Drosophila melanogaster: one gene and its partners. The protein of the gene in region 3 interacts with the protein of the main gene of each other region in a pairwise test. Each region holds a gene or a part of one and is shown on either strand. Other genes may lie near its edges. The genes, in order: Xrcc2, Arp6 and CG13917.

Region 1 (6,291 bases), on a different chromosome or scaffold from region 3:
AACTAAGCTAGGATTAGTTGGACTTGCAGGAGTATAGACTAAGGTTAGTACATTCATTTTTTCAGTTGGCAATCATAAAGCAAAACAATCTGCGGCCCTGTCATCGCGTCCCGTTCCCGTTTCATAAATCCTCTATTGCACTCGACTCGCCATCCCGCCATCGCGCTATCTCGCTCTTATTCGCTTCCGCTCTATACCCATCGCATTCTCTCACTCATACGCAAGGACACACACACACGAGGTCGGCACGGAAATCCCCCAGGCTTGGATCCTCCCAAATATCAATTGAATATCTATTGTATGAGATTCGCCGATCGAAATGGGAATGGGTTCACTATCAGCTAATTGTGATGATTTTCGTACGCTCTGCACTAAGTGCATTTTGTGGAGTTTGATCTTTCGTGACAAAAGTGGAAAACAGTTTTCAAGTACGACTACTACTAACACACACACACGATTTTGAAAATTGCATTCACTTCATGCACTACAAATATGGTCTAAAAGCAATTGTTCTAATGCTTACATGGAAATACAATTGTTCGCGATTCCTTACGACATTGTTTTACAAAATCGAAATTCTTAAGCTTTAATAATTTAATAATATCCTTGTGGATTTATTTATTCGCCGAGCATTGAATGCCCTTGTCTGAATCCCGGTTGCCCAGGCGATTTCCAAGTGCCGACAGTGCATATGTACATACAGTTCGCGTCATAAATGCAGATGTGTGTGATATCTTGTGTTTTTCGTGTGTATATCAATACTTATATGCGTTACAAAACCAACAACAATTCCATTTCTCATTTTCACTAAATTGCTTTTGTCTAAAATATCGCCCCCGTTGCCCCGGCTGAAACCCTTGTGATCCATTCCTTGATCCTCCTCCTCCTGCTGCTCCTCCCAAACATGCTGGACTTACCAGCGTGGGCGTATCTCCTTGAACCACCACTGCTGGTAGCTATCGTTAACATCGCAGTGACCCAATGACAATTGCTGCGTGGCCGGATGCAGGGCCATGCATTTCTTGTGGACGCGATGCATCAGGTGCTTCGTGTGCTCGTTGTACTGCCAAGGACCGTCGACTGTCCCCAGACGACACACGGCCAGTTTGATGCCCTGCCGATCGGCCTCCACGCAGCGCTCGCCGACGCCCAACTGGCCAGCGGCATTGAGCCGAACCAGTTGATTATTTCCGCCTCCATGGCAGTATGTGAGGCCCATGATGGCCGGCGGCTGGTGGCCCATCGAGTCCAGGCATCCGTCGGAGGCCACCGAGCGCAGCTCGCCCCAGTGCAGGTTGGCCGGCAGACCCGGGAACTTGTCGTACACATCGTAGGCGATGTGGTCCATGAACCACTGGAAGCTCTTGCAGTTCAGTCGCTTCTTCAGCGCCAGTTGCTCGCTAATGTCGCCCATGTCCAGGTAGCGGGCAAGCGGCTCGCGCGTATAGAAGTACTCCTTGTGCGTGTCGTCGAACCACGTCTCGATGACGCGCTTGTAGTTGATCGTGATCAATGGACCCTTCTTCTTGCTAGCCAGTTTGCCGAAATTGTAGGGCATAAAGCCGCGATAGACGTGACCCACGCGAGAGCATGGCACCCACTCGATGCTGCCGCCACACTGCCAGATCTTGAAGCTCAATTCGAAGTTCTCGCCGCCCCAGACCAGCAGACCCGGATCGTAGGCGCCCAGCTCCAGGAAGTACTCCCTATTGATGGCGAACAGGCCGCCGGCGTGCGTGGGACTGCGATAGGGTTCCGAGTTGTGAGCACGGCGGCGCTGCTCGCGACGTGGCACCTCGTTCTCCTTGTACAGCATGCCCCATTCGAAGATGCCGCGGAAGTGGTTGTCCGTGCCATAAACCGGCCGGTACTCAAAGTTCTTGTGGTCAATGCCATCGATAATGGGCACTGTCATCACAGTGCGATCCCGGTAGATGGGCGCCAGCAAGGGCGGCAGCCAGTTGGTGTTTACCTCGCAATGGGCGTCCAAGAAGACGATCACCTCACCTGCGGGATGCAAAGCAGTTTAGTGTTTGTGTGGATATTTATAAGGTTGTGGGTTAATATGATGATTTAAAGGATGATGCTTTAAAATAGTAATTTGTAAATTTCTATGCATACTGTTTATGCTAAAAGGCTTGTTTGAAATCGACGATAATCTTGCTTCAATTGCAATGATAGGCAATTCTATTATGCTGAGAAAATGTAAAAGAAATTCAATGAGTCTGCAGTTTAAAGGTTTATCATTGCCACAAAGCGGAACGTGAAGTTATCTTCAATTCAAATTCCAAATAGCTGGCGTTTCAGCGTTTGATGCAAACATCTCAAGATAAAACTATTGTTTTCCATACAACACGTTCTTTTAACTATGCGATAAGCCGTCATGAGTTATGCAAGTTATGCAAGAACACATAACAATATACATAAATGAGATATGGGCTATACGCACCTGTAGCCTCCATGGCTCCCCTGGATCTCGTTCGGATGAGACCTTCGCGCTCCTTGTTCCTGATGACCTTGACCAGCCCCTTGAACTGCAGCACATACTCGTCCAGCTGGCTGCGCAGGTTCTCCTTGTCGGAGAAGTCATCCACCAGGATGATCTCGTGCAGCATGTGCGTGGGCGAACGATCGATGACCGAGTGCACGGTGCGCATCAGCACCGAGAAGCCCTCGTTGTGGAAGACAATGATGACGCTCGTGCGCGGCAGATCGAAGGGGTAGTCCCAGTGGCGGCACTCTTCGAGCCGCGTGTCCCGCACCGATCGGTGCATCGATATCTCATCGGAGCAGGCGATGTTCATGCCGTACTCCATCTCGGAGGCGTCCGACATGTGCTTCTTGTCCGGCGACAGGCTGTGGGCCTCGCCATTCTCGCCAGGCCCGCTACGTGGCTTCACATCTTTCGGCTCAAAGTTGCCAAGGCCTGAAAAACGCAAAAACAAATTGTGAGTGTGGCGCGTGCAAATTACCTATGCAAGCTTACAGCAATTGTTTAAATATTGGCCCAGCCACTCACTGTATGCGCTTGCAGGAGGTGTGGGTTATAATTTCAGACTTATGCATAAAGGCGGGGTATTACAGACCAATAATATGCCATCATCTAACCATCTTATGGTCATATGGAATATTCTACGACTAGAATTAGCATTTGATACAAAAGACTAAAGACACACTAGTTTTGGTGGCTGTGCAGTAAAAATGACTTTTATGAGGTTATTTTCTCACTCTATCCGAATTTGATAGTTGGTTGGTTAGGGCCATTACAAAGCCGGTTTTGGAGAATGTATAATAGAATGCGATAAATATTTGAAATGGGCTCGTAAGTTAGACTGGGAATAGACTGTACGATATGGGTTGGAAAAGGTTATCCTTTAACCTCCAACCATACTTTACTCACGCTAAACGTGGTAATAAAGACTTCTTTGAATACTATGTAGCATACATGGCAAGTAATTAATTGGTTAAAACGAGCAAAAGCCGGTTTTAAGTGATATAAAGCAAAGATTACTGAATTCTTTAGCTGGGTTTGCAGTAAGCAAACAACTCGGTCTTTTCAACAATGATATGGTAACTACTCTGTATCCTTAGTTCTGATGATAGTCCTCCATAATAAAATTGTATAATACGTGAGTGAGGAATCTTAATGGCAAGGCTCACGTTATGGGTGACACAATCCTATTCTTTATCCTGGTCAAGGGCTGATATTGCTATCCTCGATCCTGTAGCCACTTACCATCGACCAGCTTGGGCACCTCCCTGGGCCTGCCCTCCAATCGCTGGTGGGCGAACTTGGGTCCGCCGAAGCGCGTGTGATACGCCTCCTGGACGCGCTTGTGGTGATCGCTCCAGTTGGCCAGCAGATACAGCAGCGGCAGCAGTACCAGCAGGCACAATGCCAGCCGGCAGATCCGACCGCTGCGGATGGTGCTCACGCGCATCTCTCCCTAATTCCGATTCCGATGCCCAGTTCCAGATTCCAGTTACAAAGTTCCAAATCTGTTGACGTGTCTAGGTGGCCAGAAAGAAAAAGCACGGCGCGGGAGACGGGAAGCGGTAAGCGGGGAGCGCGGAAAGGTGGCCACAAAGCAGAAAGAGAACAAAAGAACCACTTTTGGTTCGGATTCGAGATGCCGCTGAATGATCAAAGGCGCCCCGCCGATAATGACAATTACAAGTGCTGGGGCGAGAAGCTAACTGGAGTACACCAGCTCGTCCGCCTGAGTGATGCTTTAACTCGGTGCGGAGCAACTTGCCGGCGAAAAAGCGCCGCTGGCTTTGAGCAAATTGCGAGTGCAGGTGCACGAATATTCGCGGTGCAAACGTAAACAAAAAATGGTAGAAAACGATGTTCAACTGGTAAGAACGCGTTATGCCGTTTTTTCTATCATCGCCCAGGCGTTAGGGCTAAATTAGGCACCAGCAGCGATAGGCGGCTGGGCGATAACACAGGGTGGTGAAAATGGATTTTTTTTATGTATGTGCGCAAATAAGTCTAAATGCTAACTGAAAGTTATAACGAAACGCTTGCTGCTGTTGTTTAACTATTCGATATGCCCTAGTTCCATTTAGTGTTAAATATGTTTCAGCGCTGCGCAATTCAACTTTAGGTGGCTGTCATCGATAAAGGCCACAATCGATAACTCCTTTGTTTATGCCAGGGCGCAAATTTGTAAATTTAACCTAATGGGCTCACATCAACTCCACTTTGCCGTTTTTGGCTCCTGCGGCTTTGAAGCCGATACGCTGGTGGAGATCTCCGGCCCAGGGAACAGTGGCAAAAGCCTGGTGCTCCAACAGTTGGTGGCCCACTGCCTGGTGCCCTACAAATTCGGTGGTCGCCAGTGGAGCGTCCTGCTGATCAATCTGAGTCACAAGATCAACCGTGAATCTCTGGCCAAGAGCATTAGGATGGAGCTGAAGGCGTACTCTGTCGGCGAAGTGATTGCTGCGAAATGCCCCACGGAGGAGCAGCTGGCCGAGATTGCGGGCGAGTGCATGAGTCGCGTGCGATTCCTCAACTGTTTTGCAAACGATGATGTTTCCACGTCGCTAATCGACGCCCGCTACGCGATCATCAATGATCCTGGCATACAATTGGTTGCCATGGACACACTCAGCGAATTCTACTGGCTAGATGAGCCTAAGATTGCCAAGAGAATGTCCATGTATCGCCACTATCGATTGCTCCAGGCGCGCCTGGAGAAGCTCTGCAAGGATGCCATCGTCTGCGGCATGTACACGGTGGAGTCTGCCTTTCTGGAGAATCGTTTTGGCGAAAACTTGCCCGAGGCTGGCATAAAGTACCATGTCAGGATGCAGAAGATTCAAAACCAGATCCTCTTGAATGGACTGCCGCTGTCGTTTAGCAATGGAATTCATTTGGATACAAATACTAGCAAGGAAATTACTGAGGCATTGCTGACTCAGCCCAGTTAACATAGTTAAATTATTATTATTAATCTTAGGACAAAATGATGCTAGGAACTGAAAGAAGTAAACGATTGTATATAGAGTATATAGAGTTGATTAAATTGTATATAGAGTTGATAGGTTAAGAAAATTGTATATAGTTTAACAATTTAACTTTAATAATATCTTCCTTTTAGGGATTAGAAATTATATTTGTTATTACTCCTTTATTAGACAATTTCAAGGCCTATGAGTGAGAAAGTAATCTGTGCAACTAATTAAGTTAAAAAAAAGGTATAACTTCTACATTATCTAGATAGTTACGAACTCAAATATACTTTAATTTCCGTGATATCTTCCTAGTTTTACCCGCTCGAACAAAGAAAATTATAGTCCATATAGATCTAGAAGGAAAGTTCGCTTTTATGACTTATTCCATTCAGTAATATATTTAATATTATATATCAGTAATATTATCTTAATTAAAAAAAATACAACAGTTCTTTAAAATTGTGTTGAAACCTTCACTATGTTCTTTTTTTGTTTTTGAAGAAGGCCAACCCTACCAGAATTATACTTAAAACTAATGATTTCTAAAAGCTATACATAAGTAAGGTGGTTTTGTTTAGCAGTTTTTTTTTTCGTTTTCGTTTTCCTTTTTTATCGTTTTCTTAGCATTTTAAGAAGAAGCAATATGATGGTGTATGGTAATGGCAATTAAAATGGAGAGGAGGGGGGGGGGGGGGGCTTTTTAATGTTATCCGCCGATTGATTTTGGTAGTGCTTAAAAGCCGGTAAATTAGTAAAAATTATTATTAAATACAATCATTAATTTAAATGTAATTTCAATAAATAATTATCTGTTTAAATACGATTATT
Region 2 (6,866 bases), on a different chromosome or scaffold from region 3:
CAACAATTACAGTACAATTATTATATACAGCCGTCTGAGCTCGGAAACAGAATGTGGGATTCCGGTTTGCAGTTGGGTACTTGGGTGCTTGGTTGCTTGGGTTCAATGTGCCACCCCGTGTCGAGTGTGTCCTCCTCAGACACGATTCGCAGGTTGACGGCACCAGGTTCTCACCTCTACTGATGCCCCTTTGACTAGAGTTCCTAAATCAGCTCGCCGCGCTCGTTCACCTTGATCACCCGGACGCGGGCATGCCGGTCGGCCAGCACCTGGTCGATATTCTTGCTGGTACTGATTCCAGAGCTAATGCTGCTATCGCCATCGCTGCCGGTGAACAGTCCCAGATTGTCCTTGATCAGATGGTCGACGGCACAGCCGTCGCACTGTAGGATCACCACGCCGCTGTAGTAGGCCTCTTCGCTGATGGTCTTCGTGTTGCGGGTGTTGCACAGCTTGCAGCGGTACACCAGCTCCATGCGGCGTTGCATGCGTCGGAAGCGCTTCAGTGTCGTCGGCGACAGAGAGCCATTCGCCTGGTTTCCGGACGTGGAGCCTCCCAGGTCAAACTGCTTGGCCGTGAAATGGCACGCATCGAGTATGGAGCGCGGTATGGAAAGCGGTGCTGGACGCGACGATTTTAGGTGCTGCTCGGCATCGTTGGTTAGCGGCACGGCGTCCACCGCTTGTTGCTGCTGGGTGGCGTTGAGGATCGCGTTTTGTCCATTCTGGCGCAAATAGTTGAGAGTTCGCGATGTGAAGATGTTGCGCAATGCGTTCATTTTATGTTGCTACTAAGCGGTGTTGCACATCCGCGTTGCTTTCTGCTCTTGCCGCCCGCTGCAGTGCGTCCTGAATTCTGGCGCCGCACGTGCTGAATGTGGGGTAGTTACTGCGTTTTGTTTTGCCCCAAATGGGGAAGAAAATGGTTAAGTGGAGCGATGAAAACAGCTGATGGCTATCGTTATCGGAGCAGTGCAGGCGGTTGGCCGCTTAAATTCAGTTCTCACATTTTGGCTATTTTGTATCCAGGTTCAGTAATTTGTCTCTATTGGCAGAAGTTTATGTAGTATGAGTTGAAGACTCGTTACAGCATTTCAAAAAGCAAATAACAGAATTTCAACTACCAAATTTGTAGTATAAATACCAAGCAATAATGAAAATTCATAGCTTAGAAATAACTAACGGCCGAAGAACCGAGTTCACCACTGAGTGCCTATCGGATTCGATAATCACAACAAAAGGCAATCGGAGGCCGGCTACTATATTATATAGCCACCAGATACGATTCGTTACCAAACCGATCTCAACTCCCAGAAATGGGCCACTAATTGCTGCTGGAGCATAAATCAAAAGCCATGAACTTTGCACGCCTGAGATTCGGGCAGATGGTCCTTGGAGGACTTCGAATTCCGCGCCAGCAGACGCAGACGCAGTGGATGATGGACCGCCGCCGATGGTTGGCCAGTGAAGCCACCTCATCGGCTGCGGCGCCAGCTCAAGCAGCTTCTGTACCTAGAACTCAAACGCAACCGCGGGTAAAGCCATTGCCGCTAGCCGAGGAGCGCTTGGAGTCGATACTATCGCCCATTCGCACCAGGATCATTCGAAAGAAGCGCTTGGCCATCGATGAACTGTCCGCTTTGGGGTTTCTCAACACCCGTGGTTATACGACCGCCGAGGAGTACAATCTGGAGGATCTGCAGATAGCCCTCCGCGAACAGAACCTGTACGAGACGAAGCGTTTCTTCTCCACAGACAATCTGGACGTGGAGCAGAATGTGCTCTTTGTGGCGGCCAAATATCCGACGGGTCAGCAGCCGCGGGAGATATTCTTCTTCCGCGAGGGCTCGGTGGTCTTTTGGAACTGCAGCGACATCGAGACGAACAATGTGCTAAGTTTCCTGCGCGCCTTCGAAAGGGAATCGTATGTGAGTGCCCTGGTTCACGGGGAGAGCGAGGTGATGCCCTACACCTACATTCCATCGACGGCGGTGGATGTGGAGGGCGATCTGGTGGCGGAGAGCAGCGACTTCAATGTCACGTCACGGGCATTCTTCCAGAATGGCAAGTTCTTTGTTACCGCCGATACGGATAGTTTCCTGTATAAGTACACCTTCTCCAATGCGATGGCACAGTCAATAAAGCTGGGCATGTGGGAGGCGACACTGGACCGCTACATAGACTCCATAGAGCATCTCACCGAGGATCTAAAGCGTGGTCGCCGATTAAGAATCTCGCGGGCGGCCATGCTGCGAAAAACCGGTGAATTATTTGCCCTGCGTCATGTGATCAACCTGTCGTCGGATCTGCTGGATGCACCCGATTTCTACTGGGACCGCGAGGAACTGGAGGCACTCTACCTGCAGGTGTGCTCCTACTTCAGCATCTCACGGCGCACCAAGGTGATGAACGAGAAGATCAACCACTGCGTGGAACTGGCCGAGCTGGTGTCCCACAATCTGAACGATGCCCATCATATCCGGCTCGAGTGGATGATCATAATCCTGATCATGGTAGAGGTGGGCTTCGAAGTGCTGCACTTCGTCAGCGATCACAGTGATTCGCATAAGCTAGAGGTCCTGCCACTGGCTGCTCCTGCCGCCTCGATTCCCAATTAGCAAGTAGGCTTGGTCGATAGTTTTTTGTACTATATTTGTATTTTGACGAAATATAGAATTGTTAGCGTTCCAAAAGTTTGTTTGATCTGTGCTCTATTTTTTTTTTGTCCTTTTTAATTTGTTGTTGCCCGTTAAAAACACCAAACATTACGATTTTAAAATTCTCACTAGATCCAATTTAAAAAAATGGCTAGATTAATCGACAGCACTAAAGCAGACGAAGTGTCATTTCTTTTCCTCTGTCGAAAAATGCTATAGATCTACATCGAGAATATTATAATTTTATTGTATGTGTATTTGTATTTTGCTGAAATATAGAATTATTAGCATTCCAAAAAGTTGTTTCTTGTGTTTTCATTTTGTTTTTGTTTTCCTTATTTAATTTGATGTAGACCGTTAAAACACCAAAAATAACGATTTTAAAAATCTCGATAGATTGAACAAATTAATCGACAGCACTAGAACAGAAGAAGTGTTGTTTGTTGTCCTCTTCCGAAAAATGGTATAGATCTACGTTGAGGACGAAAAGGATGGCCAACGCTGTGGTGGTGTTGGACAACGGAGCGCATACGGCGAAAGTGGGCCTGGCCAATCAGGATGAGCCCCATGTGGTGCCCAACTGCATCATGAAAGCAAAGAGCGAGCGGCGACGCGCTTTTGTGGGAAATCAGATAGATGAATGCCGGGACACATCGGCGCTCTATTACATTCTGGCGTTCCAGCGCGGCTACCTGCTCAACTGGCACACACAGAAAACGGTGTGGGATTACATATTCAGCAAGGACGGCATTGGTTGTTCGCTGGAGAACCGCAATATTGTCATCACTGAGCCGCAGATGAACTTCCAGAGCATCCAGGAGGCAACGCTGGAGATTCTGTTTGAGGAGTACAAGGTTGATGGGGTGTACAAGACCACTGCTGCCGATCTGGCTGCCTTTAACTATGTGGCTGACAGCGAGGAGCGGACTACAATGGAATCGCTTAACTGCATCATCATCGATGTAGGCTACAGTTTCACCCACGTTGTTCCTTTTGTGCTGGGACGGCGCGTTCTCCAAGGCATACGACGCATCGACATGGGCGGGAAGGCGCTGACCAACCAGCTAAAGGAGCTAATCTCTTATCGCCACCTAAACGTCATGGACGAGAGTCATGTAGTTAACCAGATCAAGGAAGATGTCTGCTTTGTGGCGGAGGACTTCAAGCAGGCGATGCAGGTGCATTATTCGGAGGAGAAGCGACGCGAAGTCACAGTTGATTATGTCCTTCCAGACTTCACCACCGTCAAACGGGGCTATGTTCGTGTTCCCGGAAAGCCGCGCGAGGATGAGGAGCAACAGCAAATGGTGTCGCTGTGCAATGAACGTTTCACCGTGCCCGAGCTGCTCTTCAATCCCTCGGACATTGGTGTGCAACAGGTGGGCATTCCGGAAGCGGTGGCCGATTGTCTGAAGGCTTGCCCCTGGGAAGCGCACCGCGAACTCCTGCTCAACATCCTTATTGTGGGCGGCAGTGCCCAGTTTCCGGGATTTCTGCCGCGCCTAAAGCGCGATTTACGTGCCCTGGTGCCCGACGATCTTGAAGTGTCACTCATCTGTCCCGAGGATCCGGTGCGGTACGCGTGGTACGGCGGCAAGGAGGTTGCGACCAGCCCCAACTTTGAAGAGTTTGTTTACACGCAAGACGACTACGAGGAGTACGGTTTCCAGGGTATCAATCAGCGGTAACATGCACGTAGTCGAAGTATTTTTTCAATAATAAACTTGATTTGCACATGGGTTTTCTAGAACATTCCTTGTCTATATATTGAACTAGGGCTAAAGAGGACAAACTGCCAGCCTGCGGCAAGGAAGCGGGTGCGTCACTTACCTAGCGCTACAACTAAAATTTAACTATAGAACACAACTTAATATTTAGAATTCGTTTGCGAAGTAAAATTTACAAAGGATGCGGTGCTTTTGCCAACAACGTAATGAGATACAAGGTCGGGCCGCGTACTGCATTTAACTTAGTTAATTTAGGTCTGTCTGCGAGGCGGGTGCCGGCGGATCTCCTCCGGATCTCCATCGGTTTACATGCTGAACGATTCGCCGCAGCCGCATGTGCCCTTAATGTTCGGATTGTTAAACACGAACTCGCTGGACAGCTTCGATTCCACAAAGTCCATCTCGGTACCTGCAAGCGAATTATACTCTGTATTAGCTGGCTTGTCCAATGCTATGCTAAGCTGGTATGAACTTACCCAGCAGCGACAACTGCGCTTTCTTGTCGATGAAGACCTTGACGCCATCCTGGACCACCTCCTCATCCAACTTGTCTGCTGGCAAAAATCGACACAGAACGCAGCATTAGATCTCCACCGAACAACATTCTGTCCAGAGTGGCTTACCTTTTTGGCTGGCATAGTCCAGCGTGTAGGACAGACCATTGCATCCTCGCTGCCGTACGCCCACCTTTAGGCCAACCTGTGGCAGAAACAACATCGAATTTCTGTCATTAACTGTGTGGCTAATTTATAGGCAGCCTTGTTTATTGACCAAAGACAAAGAACTCGGTATTCTAATAAGTCTGTCTCAATTCAAAGAATTTAATCACTTAAAAACTAAATGATTAACAACAAGATAAACATGCTCATCAAAATTTGGTCGGGTCAAAATTTGGAAAATCTAGCTGATTAACGCAGGCCGAATTAGTTAGCATGGCTTATATTTATAGCTAATAATTTGCGCTAAAATATATGACTGACTGAGGAAAAAGCCTATTGTCAAATATAATGCTTGAAGAAGCCCTCTTGCGAACTTCCTATACTCCATGCAACCAGTGCTAAAACTTAAATAACATGCACGGGAACCTTTAAAGAGCTAGGCGAGATTATCAAGATCTCAATCGTGGAAGGCGATAGAATGCCCACTAAAGTGTAGCCTTGGTTCGATGACAACTTGTCAGCAGTCACTCACCATGTCCGGCTTGTCCTGCAGAAGCGTCTTGATGCGTAGCACCGCCGCGGGTGTCTGAAAAGGATTGGGGGAGATCAGAATCATCAGATCGAAGGGGACTGTTACTTCATCAGCAGCAGCATGCGCCGATTTCACCAGGTTTTGGTTTCCTTACCAGAGTCAGAGCGGCCCGCGTCGGGATTAACTTCCGGCCTTTCACCGCCCGCACTGTCGCCGTTGCCACCACACGTGTCGCCATCGGTTCGTGCCCTTTATATAATTTGTTTGACTCGAGAATTTCCACAAAAAAAATTCGAAAATATGAGTGCTTACTACCAGATGGTCGATAGTACTGTCGATAGTATCACGTGAGATGGCATTAACAGATGTCATCGATTGGCAGTGTCACGGGATAGCGGAGAAACGGTTACTACCTGTTTGAAAAATAAGTTATTTTTAAGCCCCAGAGTCCAGGTGGACTTCATTAATAACTTAACTTAATATTTCACAGTAGAATTTATATTAACAATTGGTTTTAATGTCTGTGAGTTACAGCAAATTTTATCAGCACCAGTGACAGCTATAGTAACTTTTTAAAATCGTGACTCGCGACTAGTTTTGAAATGAAAGGAGGTGCCATCTCTAAGTTTAAATGAATTTCACACTTTTCGATTGAGTTAAATAATATCAACAAAATCGAGGATATGTCCGCCCTAAAAAAATTTTATAAAATCAGCGCAGGTGTGAGAAGAGGCGCACTACTTACCAGTTCCCGAAGAACACAAATTGATGCTTTAAATAGTCCACAATTGCAGTTGCAAGTGCATCACTTTGCAACCAAAACACAAACAGCTGTTTTTAGCAGCAGCAACAACTACACGTGCATTTGCCGCAGTATACACTGCAGTAAGCCAGTGGTATGTTTGGAAATCAGTTGTAAATACAAATAAACTACCCAATTGATATTAAATAATGTTATTTACATTTGTAATTTAAAATATTATAAATGGAATGCAATATTTAAAATTATGTATAACAAAAAAGTTAAGTATAATTATTTTGCTCTGCTCCCAGGACGATGCGGACAAGACGGTGGCCACGAATAGCATTCCTCTGGCGAAACTGGAGGCCAAGATGCAGCTGATCTACACCTGCAAGGTGTGCCAGACCCGGAACATGAAGACCATTTCGAAGCTGGCATACCAACGCGGCGTTGTTATCGTGACCTGCGAGGGCTGCTCCAATCACCACCTGATCGCCGACAATCTGAACTGGTTCACAGATCTGGACGGCAAGCGCAACATCGAGGAGA
Region 3 (7,821 bases):
CCAGAACTTCTTCATCTGCATCGAAATGCTGTTCGCCGCCATCGCGCTGCGCTATGCATTCCCCTATCAGGTGAGTTTTGGAATGTCGGAGTGGGCTAGATTTTACGCAGCTATTTACGATTTTTGGTGATTAGATAGTGCTGACTTGAGTGCTTTTTTTCGGTTATTTCGGTGTTTATTAAGCGGCTTTCCTTACACTTGTTAGATATGTGAAAGGTATTCGTGTAATGCTGACTTGGCTAGAAGAAATCAGCTAAAACGAAGTGCTTGCAGTAAAAATAACTTAAATGTTGTATGCTCTTTGTAGGTCTACGCACGCAGCTGCATCAGCGATGGCCACGGACGGTCTGTCACCATGCAGTCCATTTCCAGCAGTCTTAAGGTAAGCTGGAATATTTCCCTGGGAATTCCCGTATCTAAAACTCCCGCAATCCTTCGCAGGAAACAATGAATCCCAAGGATATTATGACAGATGCTATACACAACTTCCATCCGCAGTACCAGCAGTACACGCAGTACAGCTCAGGTTGGTTTTTACTCGCTTTCTCGTCTTTTTAGCCCAACTTCTTCTCTTTGTGCTCTGTGTCTGTGGCATGTTCGTTCTTTTCATCGAGCCTGCTTAACTTATCTTATCTCTTGTGTTCGTCGCTCTCATTTAATGCATTTCGATGCGAATTTCCATTACCATTTCCATTCCATTATCGTTATGTTTTTCACACTTTTGTTTTTCTTTCTTGTTTTCTTATCTTTTGCAGAAGTAACCTCGGCTCAGCGTTACGAAAAGCTCTAAATCAATATCAAAAGCAAAACTCTAGCGATGCTCGCTACTAAACACTAATTGCAATCACAATTCCACATTTCCGAGCGGGACGCGATCCGAAAGCGAAGCAAACAAGTGTACTTATAGCCCTAGCGCCTTAGCCCTAGCTTAATGCCCCACAGTATCCCCCGAAACCAAGCTCAGAGAGGAAGATACGTACTAGGCCTAGTTACTTACTTACTCACTCCACAAAACGCTGAAAGCTGAACAGAAATTAACTTAGCCAGTCCATTGAGTTCAGGGCTTTTAGAGTTGCCTCTGCGTCTGTGTTTCTGTATTTCCTACGTTTACACTCTACACCTAAACTTAAGCGTTTTTTAAAACAACTTATTTAGACGTTAGCTATGTACGAAACGAACTATAATATTGTACAATATTATGTATTTGTAAACAAAGATTTTATTATACTGTATGCAACAATGGCAGTCGCTGAACAGGATTCCCCATTCAAGCGATCTTCAAGCTAGTTTCCCCTCAGCATTTATTTACGTGTTTCCGTTTCGCTCAAAGATACCAAAAACGAAGTTTTTCCTTCTTTTATTTTGATTTCCCCTTTTGACCACCCTTTTGTGATAAGCTCTCGTCGTCCTTCTATTTACTTCTGTTTGTAAATGTTTAAACCAATTGTATAAAATATCTAAAATACTTAGCAATAAATGTACGATAAGCTTGACAACTGTTTGCCTCGCCTCGTTTTCTTCGTTGCATGTTTATTGGCCTCTTTCCAACTATATATATCATATATCCGTGCCTCGATTAAGATTTTTATCGTAGAATTAACTAATAACTAAAATCTTCAGTAACATACTTAATCGAGGAATGGTTGTGACAAGCATGGCATGATCTAATGTTTCTTGTTAATAAGTTAGACCCTCGATCTGTGTGACCCGTAACGATTAAGTCCATTCCCTCCAATGAAACCCGCACAGGTGGCAAGAATTCCCGCGGCATTCGCGTCTCCAGCTACGATCCCGACGATCCCAGCTCGGGAGCAGCAGCTGGAGGCATGCAGGCGTCGCAGCCCACCAGCGGTGGATACGATGCGGTGGCCACTGGACCAGGATCTGGCGGCAACGGCGGCAGCAACTGCATGGCCTCAAAGACGCTGGGCAACCAGAGGAAGTTCCAGCCCGGCGGCCAGCGGGTGGCGACCATCAGCCAGAACTACAACGAGAAGACCATGCTGCTGAGCAGCGACGATGAGTACCAGTAGAGGAATGGAGAGATCGGGATCGATGGTCCCACTTATTGTTAACAAAATCGAGTCTTTCGTTCGGATCCGATTCGATTCGTTTCGTTTGGTCTATCCAGTGTGCTGATTCTGTCGCTTGTACAATAATCTTAGGTAGCCTAGCCGAGCAGCATCACACGACCCATTGGGCGGAAGATTAAAGATAACGTAATGATATACCCTGTAAAGTGGGGTGTGTGTGGCTAGAGAAGTGTAGTCTATGGATAAGTTCAGTACAATTTTTTTATTTTAATGGATGCACTTCTGCTTTAACCAATTTGATGATTTATATAGAGAATTTTGAAGCATTATCTATAGACTACAGTGGTCCACCACCCCAATACGACTTAATCTGCGCAAAGGTATTTTGTAATTTTACACCGCATATGTAATTTGATTCGCTTTGATTCCATTTATCTTGTGTACATTTGTCTGACAATTCAATTGTAAAGCGAACCAAAAAAAAAAAAACTGAACAGAAATCAAAACTAGCGAAAACCGAACTGCAAATGCACTTCTTGCGTCTCACGAACCGTCTACAGGCTGCTTCTACAATAAACTGGCGGAAAAGCTGAGGAAAATCTACACACAAATATATTTATAAGCCAAGGCTAATTTTTAAAGCATACTTAACACAATACATAGCTAACCTATAGCGAATTCGTTAGTTGAATGAATGAGACCAGGTCCAGAAACCAGTTTCCAAGTAATAGGACTATTTCCGGGCCCGAAGTGTATAAAAGAATTTTACCCTGTACAGAGAAAACGAGGTGCTCCAGACCATTGGCTGAAATCGGTCTGAAATCGGTCGAGAACAGTATTTTGATATCTAGCCAGGCTTCCCATCAAATTACGTGTGTTTCTGGACCAGCGTGGTGACCGGAACCGGAAGCAGAGCGTAAGAAACGTAGGAAACGTCAAATTATGTATAATTATCGGGGGCAAAGTGAAGGAAAACCAAGGCAGCAACGTTTTTATGTACATTTTTTTCGTTATTAATATGAAATGAGAATAAAGTAAATGTCATAAAGTACTCTAAATCCATTTATGTATATAATATATCCAATGTTTTATTTATGATTGGTAATAATTATTGGTAAGTTAAGGTTTATAGTTTTTATAAGATGCGTTGGTTGTTCAAAAAGGCTTCTTTTGTTAATTATTGTATTCATTAAAGTAAAATTTTTGATTCATTTTAAAATTTAATTATTAAAACCGTTATGTTTAGCATTCAAATTGATCCATCTCTTGTTGCCACCTTTTTTATTGTACATTTAAGAAAGGGTTTAAGTCTGCGGTGGTGTAAGCACTTGGTATTGACGTGTCTAGGCTGAACGGTCCCTTTATCGCGCTCGCTAGTAACTTTGTACATTCCGGCTGCGGCCACACTGCAAAACCCCTTTAAACCGCAGGAATCGCTCGCGTTTTTTGTCGCGGCGTTAAATTTTTTAAAAGAAACCGAAAGAATATTTAACAGTGGACCTGCGAAAAGAATCGATTCGGCCGCGTTCTAAATCTAATGCCAATTGCCGCGATTATCGGCTTATTATTCAGAAAACAAGAGAAACACGCAAGCGAAAAAACGAAGTTGTGCGGAAAAACCAGTTTTCTTTTTGCCCAGCGAGCAGCAGCAGCAACAACAACAACAAGCGCGTAGTTAAAAAACAAGCTAAAATCCTGTTCAGTCCTGAATTAAATGCAACGCGCAAGAAATCAAAAGAAATATGCCAATGAAAGTGTCGTGCAATAAAGCAATAAATTAATCAAAAGAGGAGTACGAAAACGAGATTTTCCCCAGCGATTCCTGCGAACTAAGCTTGTTTTAACCGAACTAACTAAAACGTAAGTACAAGCCAAGTATATGTATACACACACAATCTTGTAAATCGCGGAGTTTTGCTGTTTTCGTGTGGGTTTTGCTATCTTCTCTCCTTTTTCGCCTCCTTTTTGGCCGCCTCTGCGAGTGTGTGTGCGTGTGTGTGTTGTGCAAATGGCAGGTAGAAAAGAAACGGTTGATAAAAAAATCTTTTCAAGGGCGGACGAGAAAAGTCTATTTTTAACCTCCTTTGTGGCTAATTTTATTCGCCATTTCGTTTGATTGCCCTCCGAAAATTAATAGTAACATTTTATGTAATTGGTGGAAGCGGGTGATGGCATGGCATCCCGAGGAAAAATCAATAAATCAGCGCCGCTGCAGCTGTGTTCTCGTCCTGCATGTGTATGCGTGGGCTGTTTTGGAGCCAGCAGGCGTGAATTGGGGTAGGAATCGGACCTCTCTCTCTCCCGCACACTCCGCCCTCTCTTTTATCCTTACCTCTCTCTCGCCTACCCACACATGCATACAGGCTTTTACTATCCGTGTGAGCCGCAAACAACAAATAAGCCGCTATAAGAAAAAAACGCGTATTTTGGCGGTCCCTCCGCCCACTTTTTCCCCCGCCTCCTCCCCAGTGCATTTTCCCCATGCAAACGAGAAAAATCAATAAGAAACCCACTTGGCCGTAAGAGCTGTGAAAATAAAAGTCATCTAAGACCGAATGCAAACATGGAAATCAGTTATTAACCCAATTTGCATATGCGAGAGCATCATCGCACGGACAAAAAGAGAAAATGCCAGCAACTATAGTTAATCAATCAAACCAACACGAAATTCTGCGAACCGCAAATTAAGTGACTCAGTCGAAATTCAAATGCCAACAGCTGTACGCGTTTAAATTTATACGCTTAGCGCACGCTGTTTCTGGACCCCGAGTCAAAAGAACCAAAAGCGTGGGCATTTCGATTTGGCCAAAAGTCAAGTGGCCAATGGACTTGCGGGGCTTCCTCTGCGTCACTGTTCCACTGCACTTCTTATCCTTATCTCGACCAAATACTACACTTCTCACATACAATGTACGTTTGCTCATATGGTAAATCACCTATCGATTGAAACTGGGAAATTGGGAAACCAGTATAACTGAGTGAAGCGGAAACTCCTAATTGTTTCTGGGAAAGTAGGTTGCCAAAGTTGCTATTTTTAGGATTCAGTAAATTTAGCGCCTTCCGCCAATCAATCAATGAGGCTCAATCAGTCTAGTGCCCCAAAAATGCCTACGGTATTACGACGGATATCACTTCATATCGGGGCGCCAGTAACGCGAGATTGTTTATGTTTACTTATCATAAGTATGAAAGTGCCAGTGTTATCTTTTCACTGAAACTTAGGTAAATAGGTAAATAGAAGTAAATTAAAGTTAGCAGCATTATCATTCATATGATTCATTGACATCATAAAATACAAATATTAATGGAAACTTTAGGATCCATTCTTTTACTAACAGAAAGATTCTTTTTCTTAACCATAAGTTTTAAATTAGATTCCTCTTGACCAGTGACCACTGTACATGAGGCACATGAGCTCATTTCCACCGCTGACCCAGAATTCGTTCTCCCTCTAATTCTCCTCAGCCACACTGTAATTTACAATAGTTCGCCAAGCCTCACTTACTTTAATTGTCGCATTTGTTGCGACCACACATGGTTTTCTTCTCAGTGTGTGTGCGAGCGGGATGCCGCAGCCATGACGCCATGTTGCGGGCTCCAGAATGGGAGTGCGAAAGAGACGAACGTAGAAGGGGGAGGTGAGCAAACAGCTGACACTTGACTCTCCGCACAAATGGCAATTACAAATGTTTTTACCGTTAGGGGGCGCAGCCACATGTAAATGAGTAAGTGAACGCTACCGACTTTTTACTTGTCTCCCGTTTTTCATTTCCATTTCCATTAGCGTACGAGCGACCAGAAGCGGAAAACAATGCAAAACATATTTTCAATTAGTTAATCAGTCGCAGTCCCAACAGCTGTCCGTATATGTGTGTGTGTGTGACAGTGGGAAAGATATGGGAAAGTGCGACCACCCTTTATAATCACTTGAGCTTGCAAGGCACAGCCATGTCCAACTAGTTAGTTCCCCACTCACAGATGTTTGGATTTATTGCCATGTAATTCCAGACATTTCATTTTGTTTTCAATAGTATAATGATGATTTGTAGTTCATGCCTAGTTTTTCGGATTTTATCATAGGTCTGAGATAAAACTCCTCGAATATATCAATAAACAGCCAGACTACTCTGTTTACTTATTACTTATACGCTAGCACTGTGAAAAGAAAACCCACGCACAAAACCCAAAATAAGCGGAGATAAGCTGTTGGGCAACCAAAATATCGTTTGCAGGCAGTGTTTACTGTGTTTGCTGTGCCCTCACCTACATTTGTACTGTTGTTTGCCGGTTGTTTGCTTGTTTGCCTTTGTTTGTTGCCTTTCGTTTGTTTGTGTGAAAGTGAGTCAAATGAGATACATATGCCTTCCTAGGCATGGGCCTACATACATACATACATACATACATACATACATGCCATACATATGTATGTACCAATTCCATTCCCCGATCCCCGAAAGCCATTCCCTAGTTCACCCACATTCCCCATTAGTTTCTGCCTTATCAGCAGTGTCTTCAGTCTGTTATTGTGTGTGGCGTACTTTTCCATTGAACTTTTAATGGCCGACCTGCAGCCGATTTAATTATTGAATTTATGGCTGTTTCGAATTCGGCGGTACACTACAAAAAATAAAAGCTGAGTAGTAAAATGCATTCGAGACACTTTCCGCTTCACATTTTTTGTTCGAAATTAAACGATATTATGCCTTTGCAACCAAATACTTTATAAATACATAGATAGATAGATACAACAAGTTAATTCTTTGCTCATTACTTTGCAATTCATTGGATGGGCAAACTTAATTAGCTGAATGGCACACATGTTGCAAATTAATTTGAGTTATGCACTGCCAAACGACGCCTTAATTGTCAACAGATTAGTTTCAGCCGGGTGTGGCTCCACTGCCCATTCGCCATGCCAAGTGCGCCTGGCGGGTGTGAGCAATTAGCCGGCTTCTCGGCGAGAATGCGTTGATCCCAGTTCCCAGTCGCTTGGCAAAAGTGTCACGCCAGCTCCGAACCCAAAGGGGAGATTGGGGGGTAATTAGTTTCCATCGAAATGCGGGGGATGGCTGCGATGGAGGAGGCTCATCACGTTCGACTGCCCAGATGCTAATCGCTCCTTGTGGCGAGCTATTTTTGGGGCACGCTTTGTTTACGTTTGGCCCCAGGCATTCGAGGTGGGCGTAGTTCTGTTTTTGGATGCCATATTTTTTTTTGGCACCATTCGCCGATTTTCGGGGCGTTAATAAGGGCGTGGGTGGCAGGTCAAGTTGGAGGGGCATGGGAATATTCTCTGCGTCCTCCACAAATTGAACGCAATTGGAGGCTGCAATTGGTGTGTAAATTATGCAACAACAGCAGCAGCAGCTCCATACATCAATCAGTTCATAAATCAATCATTCTCCCGAGACTCGAAACTTACGGCCAATTGAAGCCAATCAAAATGGGAGTCTCGATGTGACCAAATTCAATAAACGCATGTTTATGGCCATAACGTATGATTATGATTTATGTGCCAATTCGACATTCGAACGGGAAAAATGCAATTCCACGCAAATAACCTTCGGTGGCACATACGATTTTGCGCAACGCGAAAATCAATTTTCAATTTGCATGCCGAAAAAAAAATGATTAAACAAATACAAATTGAGAGTGATTTTCGCGTGCAAAATTATGCAAATTAGATATGTAAGGTGGGGTCATTCAAAGCCAAAGAGAAACCGAAATTCCACTTGAGGCCAAAAACAATGGGGTTTCTAGCACCCTTCGGATGCGCTTCGCAGCGCAA

What was found.
Region 1: the proteins of CG13917 (region 3) and Xrcc2 interact in a two-hybrid assay, tested with the Drosophila melanogaster proteins (one large-scale study listed by BioGRID).
Region 2: the proteins of CG13917 (region 3) and Arp6 interact in a two-hybrid assay, tested with the Drosophila melanogaster proteins (one large-scale study listed by BioGRID).

What each region holds. Positions count from the first base shown.
Region 1 is NC_004354.4:18,495,496-18,501,786, forward strand, and holds Xrcc2 (X-ray repair cross complementing 2), read left to right. Parts: upstream 1-4,631; 5' UTR 4,632-4,686; coding exon 4,687-5,439; 3' UTR 5,440-5,763; downstream 5,764-6,291. Other genes in the region: Pgant7 (polypeptide N-Acetylgalactosaminyltransferase 7), read right to left, coding at 914-2,007, 2,450-2,926, 3,737-3,941.
Region 2 is NC_004354.4:15,733,316-15,740,181, reverse strand, and holds Arp6 (Actin-related protein 6), read left to right. Parts: upstream 1-3,061; 5' UTR 3,062-3,148; coding exon 3,149-4,345; 3' UTR 4,346-4,408; downstream 4,409-6,866. Other genes in the region: CG8206 (uncharacterized protein), read right to left, coding at 204-779; CG11679 (uncharacterized protein), read left to right, coding at 1,356-2,618; MagR (magnetic receptor), read right to left, coding at 4,690-4,793, 4,861-4,938, 5,008-5,083, 5,576-5,629, 5,730-5,813; CG12379 (uncharacterized protein), read left to right, coding at 6,259-6,471, 6,629-6,866.
Region 3 is NT_037436.4:1,573,239-1,581,059, forward strand, and holds the start of CG13917 (uncharacterized protein), read left to right. Parts: upstream 1-3,460; 5' UTR 3,461-3,893; intron 3,894-7,821. Other genes in the region: Tmep (transmembrane endosomal protein), read left to right, coding at 1-70, 308-382, 442-526, 1,750-2,033.